4 linked regions of the Arabidopsis thaliana genome follow. The protein of the gene in region 1 interacts with the protein of each later gene in a pairwise test. Each region holds a gene or a part of one and is shown in the gene's direction. Other genes may lie near its edges.

What was found.
Region 2: the proteins of ZFHD1 (region 1) and HIPP20 interact in a two-hybrid assay, tested with the Arabidopsis thaliana proteins (one study listed by BioGRID).
Region 3: the proteins of ZFHD1 (region 1) and NAC3 interact in a two-hybrid assay, tested with the Arabidopsis thaliana proteins (one study listed by BioGRID).
Region 4: the proteins of ZFHD1 (region 1) and NAC019 interact in a two-hybrid assay, tested with the Arabidopsis thaliana proteins (one study listed by BioGRID).

The regions. Positions count from the first base shown.
Region 1 is NC_003070.9:26,180,311-26,184,107, forward strand, and holds ZFHD1 (zinc finger homeodomain 1), read left to right. Parts: upstream 1-1,845; 5' UTR 1,846-2,159; coding exon 2,160-2,888; 3' UTR 2,889-3,236; downstream 3,237-3,797. UniProt on the Arabidopsis thaliana protein: Transcription factor involved in the up-regulation of several stress-inducible genes. Acts as a transcriptional activator by interacting with MED25 and NAC proteins. Involved in increased drought tolerance.
Region 2 is NC_003070.9:26,802,591-26,806,229, reverse strand, and holds HIPP20 (Heavy metal transport/detoxification superfamily protein), read left to right. Parts: upstream 1-1,937; 5' UTR 1,938-2,283; coding exon 2,284-2,443; intron 2,444-2,609; coding exon 2,610-2,908; 3' UTR 2,909-3,133; downstream 3,134-3,639. Other genes in the region: AT1G71060 (Tetratricopeptide repeat (TPR)-like superfamily protein), read left to right, coding at 1-579. UniProt on the Arabidopsis thaliana protein: Heavy-metal-binding protein. Binds cadmium. May be involved in cadmium transport and play a role in cadmium detoxification.
Region 3 is NC_003074.8:5,232,630-5,236,738, forward strand, and holds NAC3 (NAC domain containing protein 3), read left to right. Parts: upstream 1-1,827; 5' UTR 1,828-2,101; coding exon 2,102-2,282; intron 2,283-2,375; coding exon 2,376-2,644; intron 2,645-2,749; coding exon 2,750-3,253; 3' UTR 3,254-3,567; downstream 3,568-4,109. UniProt on the Arabidopsis thaliana protein: Transcription factors that bind specifically to the 5'-CATGTG-3' motif.
Region 4 is NC_003070.9:19,696,377-19,700,260, reverse strand, and holds NAC019 (NAC domain containing protein 19), read left to right. Parts: upstream 1-1,778; 5' UTR 1,779-1,816; coding exon 1,817-1,997; intron 1,998-2,094; coding exon 2,095-2,363; intron 2,364-2,465; coding exon 2,466-2,969; 3' UTR 2,970-3,338; downstream 3,339-3,884. UniProt on the Arabidopsis thaliana protein: Transcription factors that bind specifically to the 5'-CATGTG-3' motif.

The DNA.
Region 1 (3,797 bases):
CTTACTTTGTGTCATTTACCTACTTATTCAATAGGTATATACATAGATAGAAACGTTACGCAAAAATGACCCCATGATCATATGACATTTAAAATTTCGGCTACAAATGACTTTTTCTCCAACCTTAGTGGCCGGTTTGCGGGATGCGCGTGCTATTTCGGTCATTGACAAGATCGTTAGGAGATTGTTCTAATCCGTCTTTATGATTCTAATTGTGATACGAGTAAATAAATTGTTAAATCAAAGTCTCTGTCAACGAATTATTAGTAAAACAATAAATACGTTTATTTAATTATTTTTATTGTATGGTCAAATATCTCCCGATTGTTGTAAATTGGATTCTAATTAAGCGTGATTGGTGACTAGGTTTATGATAAACGACAAAACGTAACACCAACTGTTATTCATTTATTCTCCTCGCAAACAATGCTTTAATTAGTCTCATTTCAGGGATCAGACTCTTAACTATACATTAATGAATAATTTATATGCCTTTCAATAAGATTTTAAGTTAATTAAACGAGTATCCAAAGCTTAACGAAATGAATGTTGATGTCTGATTTGTTTTGTTACTTTAATTCTAAAGAGTAAAGACCTTAGTAATTATAATTAATAACAAAATTAGCCATGCAGTTTGATCTTACCAATAACATTCACATGTAGTAACATTGTAACTTATAAGAAAAGGTTCATCATTTTTTTCATGAATGGATCATCATAAAAGTAACAATAACTAGTCACAAAATGTTCCTTCAATTTTTATTTTTTTGATAGAAACTATATTTGTTGTAAAAACAAACCCTATAAGAATCGATATGGAAAATGGCTAATGAAGATTCAAAATAATTGTGGGGTACTTAGAAGAGGAAGACTTGAAGACATACACCACATAATTGTGACCCAAAAGCTAATCAATAACGTAAGCAAAATGCGAAAGAACACTAAATTTCGGCGCCACACTAATGACAAGAAGTGAGAATAAAAGGTCGGTAAGAGATAAGAGTCTTTCCAAAGGGTGGTTAAGGAATTTAGACATTTAAATTTCATGATTAATTACGAAACATGAAGTTTGGCAATTGTCACAACAAACTCTTCTTTGCTCCACGATTGAGTCAAGTATTAAGTATTCGTGCGAAAGAAGTTCTTTTAGAGGTGTTTTCGGTAATCTACAAAATCTTCTAGTTGTTTAGCACTTTTCCTTTTGGAACGAATTAGTACATTAGCATAAGTCAAATATTTCACTAGAACACGTAATACCTATACTAGTAAGAAATTTTATTGACTTTATTGTTTAGTTAGATTATCGTTATAGGAAAATTTACGATTTTAGACCTCTAGATAAGAAAATGGTCCCTAAACAGAATCAAAATTGAAAAGATTAAAACGTTTTAGTATAAAAATGCAGGGGTGATACAGTGAAATTAACAGAAGTATGGGGTGGTAACGTAAACTCTTAAAAATAAGAAACTGTAATATGTACAGTGGAATATGAAACTGCAGGGCAGCTGTAATTGTCCTTTAGTACGATGCATGTAATGGGCTATTGCCACGTATACACTTTGGACTCAAATCTTCCAACTAATCCCATCCTCTCCTTCGAATATATTCGATTAATTAAAATTTTATGTCACGCTCAGAAATTATTCATCTTTTTTATTTCTTTTACACAACAAGTTACCCACTGGTGAAAGTGAAAACCCATATCTTACAAATGTCCCGTAAAATCATTGCTTTCTGATAAGACCTCAGATTCAATATTTTATACAGGTTCAAAGTGTATAGTCTGTCTATATAACGTATGAATAGATATCAAAACTAGTGACTAAAATATTCAAAAAAATCTCTGTTTCACCAAAACAAGAAAAAAAAAAAGTAAAAAAGAAGTTGTGAATTTTCATTGATATACAGTGAGTGTTTTCTTTCTTTTGCTGTATGTTTTGGACGTTTGTGAGTAAGCACTTATTATTATTTTCCAAGTCCTAATTATATTTCATCACTGCCATGTTCTTTACCGATATAATTACATCATCGTCACATGCACTTACATAATTATCCTTTTTTAATAAATAAAATAAAACTACAAAACCTAATCTTCTCATTAATCACAAAAGCAAAAGATTTAAGTAAACACACTATAAAGACAGAACTAAACAAAAGCTATGGATTTGTCTTCCAAACCACAACAACAACTTCTAAACTCTCTTCCCATCGCCGGAGAACTAACTGTCACCGGAGAAATGGGTGTTTGTTACAAAGAGTGTTTGAAAAACCACGCGGCTAATCTCGGCGGCCATGCTCTCGACGGTTGCGGCGAGTTTATGCCGAGTCCCACGGCTACTTCCACCGATCCTTCTTCTCTCCGTTGCGCTGCTTGTGGCTGCCACCGTAACTTCCACCGCCGTGACCCTTCCGAGAATCTCAACTTCCTCACCGCGCCTCCGATTTCTTCTCCCTCCGGCACTGAGTCGCCGCCGTCTCGTCACGTGTCTTCTCCTGTTCCTTGCTCTTACTACACCTCAGCTCCTCCACATCACGTGATTCTCTCTCTCAGCTCCGGTTTCCCTGGACCGTCAGATCAAGATCCAACGGTGGTTAGGTCAGAGAACAGTTCAAGAGGAGCAATGAGGAAACGAACAAGAACCAAATTCACGCCGGAGCAGAAGATCAAGATGAGAGCCTTCGCAGAGAAAGCTGGTTGGAAAATCAACGGATGTGATGAAAAGTCGGTGAGAGAGTTTTGTAACGAAGTTGGGATTGAGAGAGGAGTTCTTAAAGTGTGGATGCATAACAACAAGTACTCACTTCTCAATGGCAAGATCAGAGAGATCGAACATGGCCTGTGTCTGAACACTCACAGCAATGATGGTGATGGGTCTTCATCTTCTTGAAGAAAGATTCAAGATTCGGGTTAAACCGAATTAGGATACTTTAATTTGGGAAAATATGAGCATTAACCGGTTTAAAATCATATAATAGTGTCTTTTCTCTAACATGTAATCGATCTTGATATAAATATTTATGCGGTTTGATCTTTTCTATTTTCATCACTTTGACAGAGATGTGGTCAGAGATCACAAATGGGTTTGGTAATAAATAAGTTTTTAAATCGGAGGTTGAAACGAATTTTGATAGACCATTTCTAATTATAGTAAGTGCATAAGCGCTAATTGTGATCGTAGAGATCAAAAGATTCGTTTCTTTGTTTACTTTCTGATTATTCAATGTTATCTTCTGTATTATTAGAAATAAATCTCCTGAACTTTAGAGATAGAGTAAGTAAAGTTTGCTTAATGAAGATACGACGACGTGGTTATTACGAATTGCAACAAACTATGGCGTGGCGGAATATAATTAGGTCACTGGGCGGCACATTTTTGTTGTTAATTTATATGATATGATTAAAAGTTATTAAAATGCTGGCTTATCTCTTTCCATTTAGGGATAAGCTTTGGCAACACCAATCTTGCTTATTTATCCTAATTAAGTACAATGCAGATGTTACGATTACTAAAATATCTACTATGTGCAATGATTTGGCTCTTCCCGCACCACTGATATTAAAAATTCGTTTTTTTTCTTTCATTCATCATGTATTAACGAATCATAGCGAATGCTTTATCACGTATAAATGGTCGTAAGTTCAATGCCGGAGACAAAGTATTTTACCATGTATGTACGAAGTAACGAAGCCCAAGCCTTAACAAAAGGCCGGTACGAATATCCATGCCAGATAGATCAATGTATGCAAAAGCTCTATGTAGATACGAGTAACTGCATGCAATGATTAATGATCAATA
Region 2 (3,639 bases), 620 kb from region 1:
AATGATGCTCTTGAGTTCTTTGAGAGATCAAAGAGTTCCGGGTTTCCTCTTGAAGCACCTACTTACAATGCGCTAGTAGGTGCTTATTGCTGGTCACAGCGAATGGAAGACGCATACAAAACCGTTGATGAGATGAGATTAAAAGGGGTTGGGCCAAATGCTAGAACTTATGATATAATTCTTCATCATTTGATTAGAATGCAGCGCTCGAAAGAAGCGTATGAAGTTTATCAGACGATGAGTTGTGAACCGACGGTGAGTACTTACGAGATCATGGTGAGGATGTTTTGTAACAAAGAGAGATTGGATATGGCGATCAAGATTTGGGACGAGATGAAAGGGAAAGGTGTTCTTCCAGGAATGCACATGTTCTCAAGTTTGATCACAGCTCTGTGCCATGAGAACAAATTAGACGAGGCTTGTGAGTATTTCAATGAGATGTTGGATGTGGGTATTAGGCCACCGGGACATATGTTTAGCCGTCTTAAACAAACACTTCTCGATGAAGGCCGGAAAGATAAAGTCACGGATTTGGTTGTAAAGATGGATAGGCTGAGGAAAACCCAACTTGTTGGCTGAAGTGGGTTTCATGGCTCTGTTTTCTCTTCTTGTTTATCTCTATTACTACATTTTGTTTGATATTTTTGGACTATTGAATAGTTATGATCTATGATCTATCCAAAATTTCAGAGCTCTGAGCATTTAGAGACAGTTTTCTATCCGAGCAAAAGTGTATGATGTAGTCACCATATAGAAAACACTGTTATTTCGTTATGAGAAATGGACAAGTCAATGTTATTAAACAAACAAGAATGGGTCAAAGTAATTGAATGGGCTATGATGATTTTTTCTTTTCACAAATAGTAGATAGTTAAAAACAGTTGTTGTGTTCTTTTTTGTAAATGAAGGATGTGGACATGCATAATCCATTGATCAAAGCTTATGTTTCCTTGATTTAGTAACCTTTAATTTTGAAAGTGAGGCTATGCTAAATGCTATGGCATGCTATATAATAGCTGTCGATTTGGTAATCTCGAGATTTTATGTTGTCACTGGCTATTTCAATGAAACCCTCTTATGGAATTAACTTCATATCGGTAACACCCCTCTTTAGTATATTGCTGAATTTTTTTCAAGAATTACTCGTGGGGTACTTTAACTCAAAATTGAAATTCGATCAATTGTGTTGAGTAGCTTAGAAGAGAAAAATAGAAAAAATATAATTTTGTAAAAGGAAAAAAAAAAAGAGGTCTAAGAAGAATATGATAATTGGGGTGTAAGAGAAGAAAATGCCAACGAAGTTTATAGGGTGGAAAGTATAAAGCAAAAAACAAAAATGTCTAAATGTACATAATAAAAAGATGTGGAGGGGCTTTATAACAATTCTTATTTCAAACTATAGACTACCTAAATAGTTTGATTGAGTTGTCTACTTCGTATAAGATCGGACCCCCACACCTTATTTTTTCTCATCGAATCATTGCCCTTTAAATTGCTACATTCCTTTCTATTTTTCTCTTATAACTATTCCCTTTTACTGTTTCTGACCTAAATTGAAATAATTGAATGTGTGATTGTGTAGTTTATCTATAAACCCTATTATCATTCATCCGATCGTGTACCTATCCAAAGTAACAAAAGTGTTAAATTAATTAGAAGGGTCATGTCGTTTTCAATACACGATTACAATTTTTTCATAAACTTATATATACATACCGACATCATATATATGTATACGACGAAAATGATCATAAACAAAATTGTAAAAGAAAAAGATTAGATGGTAAAAGAAGAATCTACACAACCATAATTGCCATTCTCAATGAATTAACTTTGACGCATGTGAATTTTGAGGTGACTCAGGTGATGTGGATGATAAACCTCTAATCCCGTGACATTGTTTTATTATAAACGACCGATCGGACATTGTTAGAAAAAAAGAAATTATAACTACAAACTCTTCTGTTTATTATTATTATTATAGTTAGCTTTTTAATATAAAACGGATATTAGAATTTTGTAACAAAGAAATCGGCGGGAGTCGTGTGCTTTAGCCCAAAAACATTGGCCTCGTTGTCCAACGTGTGTATTTGGAGGAAAACATCATTAGAGGGCCACATATACATCTCTCTAATTACACTTTACGAATATTAAACACATTTAATTGTACTTAATCCTCGGCATAACACTTGTCCATTAAGTCACCATGTACTTGCTATAAATATGGTCAAGTCCAGTCCATAATATATGCATCTCTGATCTTTCTTGGTGAGAGTAATAGACATGGGAGCTCTTGATTCTCTTTCCGAGTATATCTCCGACTACTTCCGCGTCACCAGAAAAAGGAGGAAGCGGAAAGTCATGCAGACGGTGAATATAAAGGTGAAAATGGACTGCGATGGTTGTGAACGCAGAGTCAAGAACGCGGTTTCCTCCATGAAAGGTTCGAATCTCCAACTCGTAGACTACTTATGTCATGAATGGTTTCTGTAAGTTTTTTTGTAATTTTGATTTCCATTAAACGAGTACTCATGTAAGCACGCCAAACCATTTCTACATACAACAAGCCAAATTAACACGGTCTTTATATCAATATAAAAATCGCGCAGGTGTGAAATCGGTGGAGGTGAATAGAAAGATACATAAAGTGACGGTGAGTGGATACGTGGAACCAAAGAAGGTATTAAAGAGAATCGAAAGGACAGGGAAAAAAGCGGAGATATGGCCGTACGTTCCTTACAACATGGTCGCATATCCATACGCGGTCGGAACTTACGACAAAAAAGCTCCGGCCGGTTATGTCAGGAAATCTGAGCAGTCGCAGTTGCAGCTGTTGCCGGGAGCTCCCGAGAACCACTACATTTCTCTTTTTAGCGACGAGAATCCCAACGCTTGCACCGTTATGTAATAAATAATTTACTCTAGTAGTATTATCCACAGCATGTAACGTTTTTATCAAGCAATTGGCTCTCTCTCTCTCTCTCTTTTTGTTATGTTAATGCAGAGAGGAAGAACCAACTATAGCTAGTTGTGTAAAAATTTCAATATTTCAAAATAAGTTAGTGGAATGTGTATAATCAATGTGTTTAATATCAAAGTATTTTCGGGTGATTTATGTTTTTATTTACGATTATGCAAATTATTATATTAGTGGAATTAATTGAAGTTATTTAAAAATAAATACGAAAAAAGGAAAATCGGTTAAGTGCTCAGGTTGGTTAAAAATTAATTAAGAGAAAATAAACAAAAAGCTACGTGCTGTTGGAGTTTTGTTGGTTTTGTGAAGGCAAATTAGTCAGCGAAAAAAGTGTTGTGAAGTGGTTTTGTGGTAATCTATGCGGCTGTGCCAAGTGAAATCCATACATCATCAGATAATAAAATATCAACTTTTTATCTCTATATTTTATCTTCCATTACGTAGTTTTTGACACATAGAAGATCCAACAGCGTTTAACTAGATTTTCTTCGGAGCCATTAAATATAGTTTGTTCCTCAATCGAAGTAGATATGCGGCTGATGATGCAGCCATAAAAAAAGAAAGGTATTTGTAGTCATAACTTTCTTAGTAAATGACTTTAGGTTTAGAAAATGACGCGTAACTAATCAAGAAAATTAGTAGTAACCGTAATTAACTTGGAA
Region 3 (4,109 bases), on another chromosome or scaffold:
TGTACTATTTACTGGATTATGCTTGTGGAGGGAGCTCATGGTGCTCCAGATTATCAAATTTTATATATGGTAGAAAAATAATTATACCATTACAATGTAAAGCATTCGAGTTCGAATTTCATTGGCGCACTTTGATTTTATATAGGAAGATTGAGGTTAAGTTGTAATAAGTGTGATATTCATATTATTATTGGAAGTTTATTGGTTTAGCCATATGGTTTATTCAGCAAACCATTAACTAAACTCACATGTCAAAAGTTGAAACTTATACCACCTTGATATCCACGTCATCAATTCTTAATACACTTTTGTATTTTGACCCAAATTTACGGGGTTACACGTTATGTAATTATGATATATGCATGACATACACGTTATGATATATGCATGACATCGCTAAAATAGCATAATGTTAATTAGTTATCTAAAACTAAAGACCTGTGTGTGGATATTATCTTCCAACATTAACAAAAAAATCCCGAAAAGGAGAAGAACAAAAGCTTTTAAAAAAACTTTGATCACCCCGTTCTATACCAATTGATGTATCTTTAATGGAAGAGAACCATTATAAATAGAAACGAATTAACACCAAATGCACCGTGACACGAAAGATATTGAGTGTAAGAAACCCCAAATTCCTTGTTATATTCGCTTAGAATTATTTTTACAGCACCATGTACATGTGATCACAAGATATCAATTAAAGTTAGCTAATTAACTTTATTTTTCATTTTTTGGGCTACTAGTTTGCTAATTAACTTTTTACCGAGAAAAAACTATCAGTAGAAAGCCAAAAAATTCAATGAATAAGAAAAAAAAAAAAAAAGCCTAAACTTACATACATATATGATATATCTACGATAAATTTGCTGATAAACGATCTGACTTCTAACTAAGATTCCTGTTTTACCTATTTTAAAAAAAAATCGAGAACCATGAATCAAAGCTCAACTATGTTAATCATGATTGAAATCACGTACGTTCTCGAATGCTTAAATAAATATGTTAATCAATAAACCGCCATAAATTGGTTAAATATAAATCTACTTGCAAGAAAATTGTAATTGAACTTTATTTTCAATTGGTAAAATGTTCCTTTTTCACGTACACAAAAAAGTGTTTGAAGAGAAGCGTGTTTGTGTTATACGGACTTACGAAAATCTTGTGTTCCCATTTCTCAACCACAAAAGCCTAATTTCTTGGTACCTCTGATTGTATACTATCGTTTCACAATTACAGTTTCATCTGATTTCAATCAAAAATTACAGTCTCATATGGATCAAATAGAAAAATAACGAGAGTCTGCATCATCAACTCGTGTTTGTTGTTTGTCCCTCTCTCTGATCTTTAACGGCTTTTGACGAAAGAAAAATATCCCGCCTAACTCAACCAATAGACACAAGACATGTGTCGGCTTGTGGTAGTTCTATCCGTATGAAAAACGCTTTCCATGTTACCATCCAGTGAACTCATCCCATCATTCACTTACACGTGTTTTTTCTTCTTGACGACCAAAAAAAAACAATTTGGCACATACCCATTAAAAAAAAAATACTTCTTATTTTTCATAATACTTTTCGTAGATTGTCACTGTTATGTAACTCATTCATAGAAATTTACCGCGTAAATTGCATGAAAAATCACTAGTCTTAAGAATCACCTAATTTGTTTTTCTGAACTTACAAATATTCGCAAATTACTTTCAGTTAACTCCCTAATACTTGGGAAGACCATTGACAATACAAAAAAAAAATCATAAGAGGAGGTACAGTCACACACACAATATTACAACATTACTAATATAAATAATCAACTTTATGGTATAGGTTCAAAGAACCAAAGGGATCGCATAAATCACGACGCTCTAATTGATCCACGTGTCATGATAAACATAAAGTGGGACCCGTATTGAGGCTGCACGTTAACGAAGATTGGGCGGCGGTGTAATATTATATTATATATATACATACACGAGTAGCAGAGCTTCGAAATCTTTAATCTCAGAATACAAAAAAGAAAATCAAAGAAGATAGTTTTGTGATTGTTTTCTATAAAAAGTGCAGATATTTTCTTTGTCCTAGAGAAAGAGGTGATAGGAAAAATGGGTCTCCAAGAGCTTGACCCGTTAGCCCAATTGAGCTTACCGCCGGGTTTTCGGTTTTATCCGACTGACGAAGAGCTGATGGTTGAATATCTCTGTAGAAAAGCCGCCGGTCACGACTTCTCTCTCCAGCTCATAGCTGAAATCGATCTCTACAAGTTTGATCCATGGGTTTTACCAAGTACGTATAACCTAATAACCTTAACCGTGTTTGGTTTCTTTGTAGCTAGTTATGTTTTTTTCTCTTCTAACTTGTCTTTTTGGTTCTTTGTAGGTAAGGCGTTATTCGGTGAAAAAGAATGGTATTTTTTCAGCCCGAGGGATAGGAAGTATCCAAACGGGTCAAGACCTAATCGGGTTGCCGGGTCGGGTTATTGGAAAGCCACCGGTACGGATAAAGTTATCTCGACGGAGGGAAGAAGAGTTGGTATCAAGAAAGCTTTGGTGTTTTACATTGGAAAAGCTCCAAAAGGAACCAAAACCAATTGGATTATGCATGAGTACCGTCTCATCGAACCCTCTCGTCGAAATGGAAGCACCAAGGTATAAATTTAGTTAAATACATGATGTATCCAAAAAGATAAGTATATAGTAATTGTAATTATACTGTTCAACGAATAACATATTTTAAACTGTTTTTATGTTCAGCTTGATGATTGGGTTTTATGTCGAATATACAAAAAGCAAACAAGCGCACAAAAACAAGCTTACAATAATCTAATGACGAGTGGTCGTGAATACAGCAACAATGGTTCGTCGACATCTTCTTCGTCTCATCAATACGACGACGTTCTCGAGTCGTTGCATGAGATTGACAACAGAAGTTTGGGGTTTGCCGCCGGTTCATCAAACGCGCTGCCTCATAGTCATAGACCGGTTTTAACCAATCATAAAACCGGGTTTCAGGGTTTAGCCAGGGAGCCAAGTTTTGATTGGGCGAATTTGATTGGACAGAACTCGGTCCCGGAACTCGGACTGAGTCATAACGTTCCGAGTATTCGTTACGGTGACGGTGGAACGCAGCAACAAACTGAGGGGATTCCTCGGTTTAATAATAACTCGGACGTCTCGGCTAATCAGGGTTTTAGTGTTGACCCGGTTAACGGATTTGGGTACTCGGGTCAACAATCTAGTGGGTTCGGGTTTATTTGATTGTGTAATGGTAACGTAATAAGAAAAACATATTTTTATTTTTTGTCCGTGTCAGATTAGTTAATTAATATAGCGTAGAATTCGAACTCTAGGGTTAGATTTAGGTTCTACGACTTGTATTGTATATTCGTCGTCATTTGTCCTGACATTTACATTTTTGTAAACTTTTATAGCTGGAACTTTTGTATTGATCAATTATTTATTAGAAAAACAGATATTGCATTGGATCTATAAGTTTTGTACTTGCTATTGCTAACGATAAACGATAGAAATGTGAAAGTTTCCTTATCATTCATGACACATTTTTGTGTCAACATCATGTAGTATTATCATTAACAACGAATCAGCGATTCATAATTTATTATATTAATCGCCATAATATATCGATAATCTAGGAACCATAAAGCGAATATGACTTTGCTCGCTATCGCTCATCGTTTAATATTAGTACCAGCTAAAACGAACAATAGATTTGTCATCATCTTTCGCTGATGACGGTAACCATATCATAGCGAACATGACCAAAAATGTATGTTTATCTGAGATGATTTCTAGCCTATAGCACTAGTATACTTTTGTAAAATATAAAAATACTATTTATATAAACACATGTGGCATAAAGAAATTTCGCACGCGATAGTTGTGTATATATTCATTTATGTGCAATGGCATTTGCAAGCCGTAAGGTTTGAAATAGTAATATTGTACAGCTGTTTAAAGAACGTTCAAAATTTGTTAGAGAAATTGATATATATATATTTAAAAGGATATGGATAAAGATGTTATATTGTTTAATGGGAAAAGGATAGTGATGGTATTAGATGGCCAAATCTTAAAGACCAATTGGGGTTTGAAG
Region 4 (3,884 bases), 6.5 Mb from region 1:
AGAAAAATTCATTCGTAAATTTTTTTCATTTATGAAATACCACAACTGCATGAAAACTAATCAATGGATAAATACAGACAAAAAAAATTACATCAATACGTGATCTTATAAAACAAAATCTGAATATATGTATAGGGTCTATAGCTAATTTCAATTTCGATTATATTATATGCAAACTTGATGTGGATTACTTATTTTTCGGTTAAGATGTTTTATCTATGGTGGATTTACATAAAACTCAACAAATAATTTTGCTAAGTCCTTAAATTAGTTAGACATATTGGTGAAACCGACACTAAAAATGTAGATAAAAATATTAATTTATACATTATCCAACAAGGATTTTATCCAAATCGTGGTATCTATGTGATCTAATGGTTATAAGTGGAATTTAGGTGTTCTAAACATGCTCAATTAGTCAATTATATACTTCACTTTCCAACTCAAAACAGCATATTCCGAGCGAACAATATGGATTTTTATACTATAACACCCAATTTCTAAATTAAACAAAAATTGCGACCATTATATATGGTTCTATCTTTTAAAAACCATGGAACTAAATGATGAAACTATGAAGTTTTTTTTTCACAAAAAAAAAAAAGAAACTATGAAGTTTTTTACCCTATATTTTTTTTAAAAAAGATACTATGAAGCTTTGAAGCAGCTACTACGAGTTGTGTTTGTTAATGTTTCTGAAAACAAAAATAAATTGAAAAAATCTTTAGTCAACATCAACTCGTGTTTTTTCTCTTCTCCCATCGTTATAACGTCTTTTTGACAAATGACAAATTGCGCCTAACTTCTACGATAGACACGTGGACACGTGTCGTCATGATGTAGTTTTGTCCGTATGGAAAACGCTTTCCATGTTGTAACCTAAGATACATTGAACAGTTCCTTTGTCCTTTCAACTTCGCTTTTTTCGAAGCTCTTTCCCTTACCCTACCACAACATTACGCGTGTCCTTCTTATTACAACATTTGGCACATATACATTTCAGAAAACCCGTCAACAAAAAACACGTGAAATAAAATATCTCTTCCTTTACCAGTTCACATATTTCATGGTTACTGTTCAATCATTTCGCCAAAAAATCTTTTTTTTTTTGGGTACAAATTTGGCCAAATAATTGTTCCTTTATTCTGAAATTCAGTCCCCTACACGAATATATAGACCACCAAAAAGTACATGGACGGTTCAATGTTGATTAAATCGACCAAGATAAAGTCAATAATGTTTTGTGGTTTAGATGTCGTCTGGTTACTATATTGACAATAAACTTTGTAAATAAAAAATATCCTTAAAAAAAAAAAAAAAATCCTAAAAGGAAAATCGAAAATCATTTTTTTAATTTGTTTTACATTACTTAAATAATTAAATAGACAATCCTAGGAAAAAAATCTCGATTAAATTAAATATTATATGTGAACTCCAAATGTCTAAGCAGCAAATTTCCAAACATTCATTTGAATCTTATTTTGATTGGAAAATACTTTTAAATTTAGCGGAACATTATTGATAAATAGATGAATAAACAAATGTTAATAAAAAAAACCATTTAAAAAAAATAGTACGAGGAAGAGCTAAATCTACTCATGTAGGTTCAATGAACTCAAGGGATTGCATAAATCACGACGATCTAACTGACACACGTGTCAGAATTCAAAAGTGTTTATAGATAAACACAAAAATGGGTCCCATATTCAGTACACACGTTAATCAGCGGCGGTGGATTCACCTATACACTGCGTCCATATATAAGTAGCACGAGACCCAAACATTATTGTCAAAAATAAGAAAGAAAGAAAAAAATATGGGTATCCAAGAAACTGACCCGTTAACGCAATTGAGTTTACCACCGGGTTTCCGATTTTACCCGACCGATGAAGAGCTTATGGTTCAATATCTCTGTAGAAAAGCAGCTGGTTACGATTTCTCTCTTCAGCTCATCGCCGAAATAGATCTTTACAAATTCGATCCATGGGTTTTACCAAGTAAGTATATACTAATTGAAACCCTTCTCAAAAAATGTTTATTTTTCTTAACAGAGATTCATAATTTTCTTGGTTTTTCTTCTTTTGTGATTTATAGATAAAGCATTATTTGGAGAAAAAGAATGGTATTTTTTTAGTCCTAGGGATAGAAAATATCCAAACGGGTCAAGACCTAACCGGGTTGCCGGATCGGGTTATTGGAAAGCTACGGGTACGGATAAAATAATCTCGACGGAAGGACAAAGAGTTGGTATTAAAAAAGCTTTGGTGTTTTACATCGGAAAAGCTCCTAAAGGTACTAAAACCAATTGGATCATGCATGAGTATCGTCTCATTGAACCTTCTCGTAGAAACGGAAGCACTAAGGTAACAAATAAAATCTAAACATTAATAAATACTATATCTTATATTTTCTTCTTGTAGTGTTTTGAATGACCTATAATTAATATTCTTGTTAATTTTCTTTAGTTGGATGATTGGGTTCTATGTCGAATATACAAGAAGCAATCAAGTGCACAAAAACAAGTTTACGATAATGGAATCGCGAATGCTAGAGAATTCAGCAACAACGGTACTTCGTCCACGACGTCGTCTTCTTCTCACTTTGAAGACGTTCTTGATTCGTTTCATCAAGAGATCGACAACAGAAATTTCCAGTTTTCTAACCCAAACCGCATCTCGTCGCTCAGACCGGACTTAACCGAACAGAAAACCGGGTTCCACGGTCTTGCGGATACTTCTAACTTCGATTGGGCTAGTTTTGCCGGTAATGTTGAGCATAATAACTCGGTACCGGAACTCGGAATGAGTCATGTTGTTCCTAATCTCGAGTACAACTGTGGCTACCTGAAGACGGAGGAGGAAGTCGAGAGCAGTCACGGGTTTAATAACTCGGGCGAGTTAGCTCAAAAGGGTTATGGTGTTGACTCGTTTGGGTATTCGGGGCAAGTTGGTGGGTTTGGGTTTATGTGATGATGAAATGCTGACGCAATAAAAATAAGTCGTTAATTTTTGTCCCGTGGCAAATCTTATATGTATTTGAATTTCAATTCTTTTGGGTTAAGAGGGAGACTCATAGATTTAGATGTAGATTTGTAATCTTTCATGCATAGAAAATTTGACGAATAGATTTCGTAACTTTATTTTGTTGCTGTTTGGTTATCTTTGTATTGGTATAAATTTAGTGGATTGAAATTGCATATTGATATATTGTTTAGTTGTGGCTAGCTATACATGTAAGTTTAATTGTTTGAGCTATCCAAAAGAATATATTTAACTATCTCATGCATTTTTAATATAAGCATACGTTATGTAATCATAAACCTACATACAAATCTTTTCTGTTTACGAATATATAGTAACACACCACAAATTGAGAGACTTACTGTATATACTGTATTTGAAAAAGGAGCGTTGGGTTAGCTGAACTTAGGTGTGTAACGTGGGCTTGCTTGTTTGACCATCTTGACAAGAGATTGTAGAGAAACAGTTTATACCGTACAAGTTTCAAACACATGTTTATTGTGGGTCGACTAAATGCGTTTGCAATTAGGGTATGAATGATAAGAGTAAAACACGGAATACTCGATTTTTTAACTGTACCTAGGAAAATCCGACCTAATAGTTTAAATTTAATTTCTGACATGAATCATGTAAAAGTTTAAGAACATCTCTAATAAAGAGTTTTCAAAACATTAAAATAACGAAATAAAGAATTGAAAGTACCAAAAATAACCATTTAGTTCAAAAGAGGATGAGAATACTCAAAAAGGGTTTTAAACTATTCGAGATGTTCTTATTTTGATTTAGAGTGCGCGTTAACACAATCTCTAGTACACATTAGCCACATTGTTACTGAATATATGTGGTTCGCTGATCATACAATAT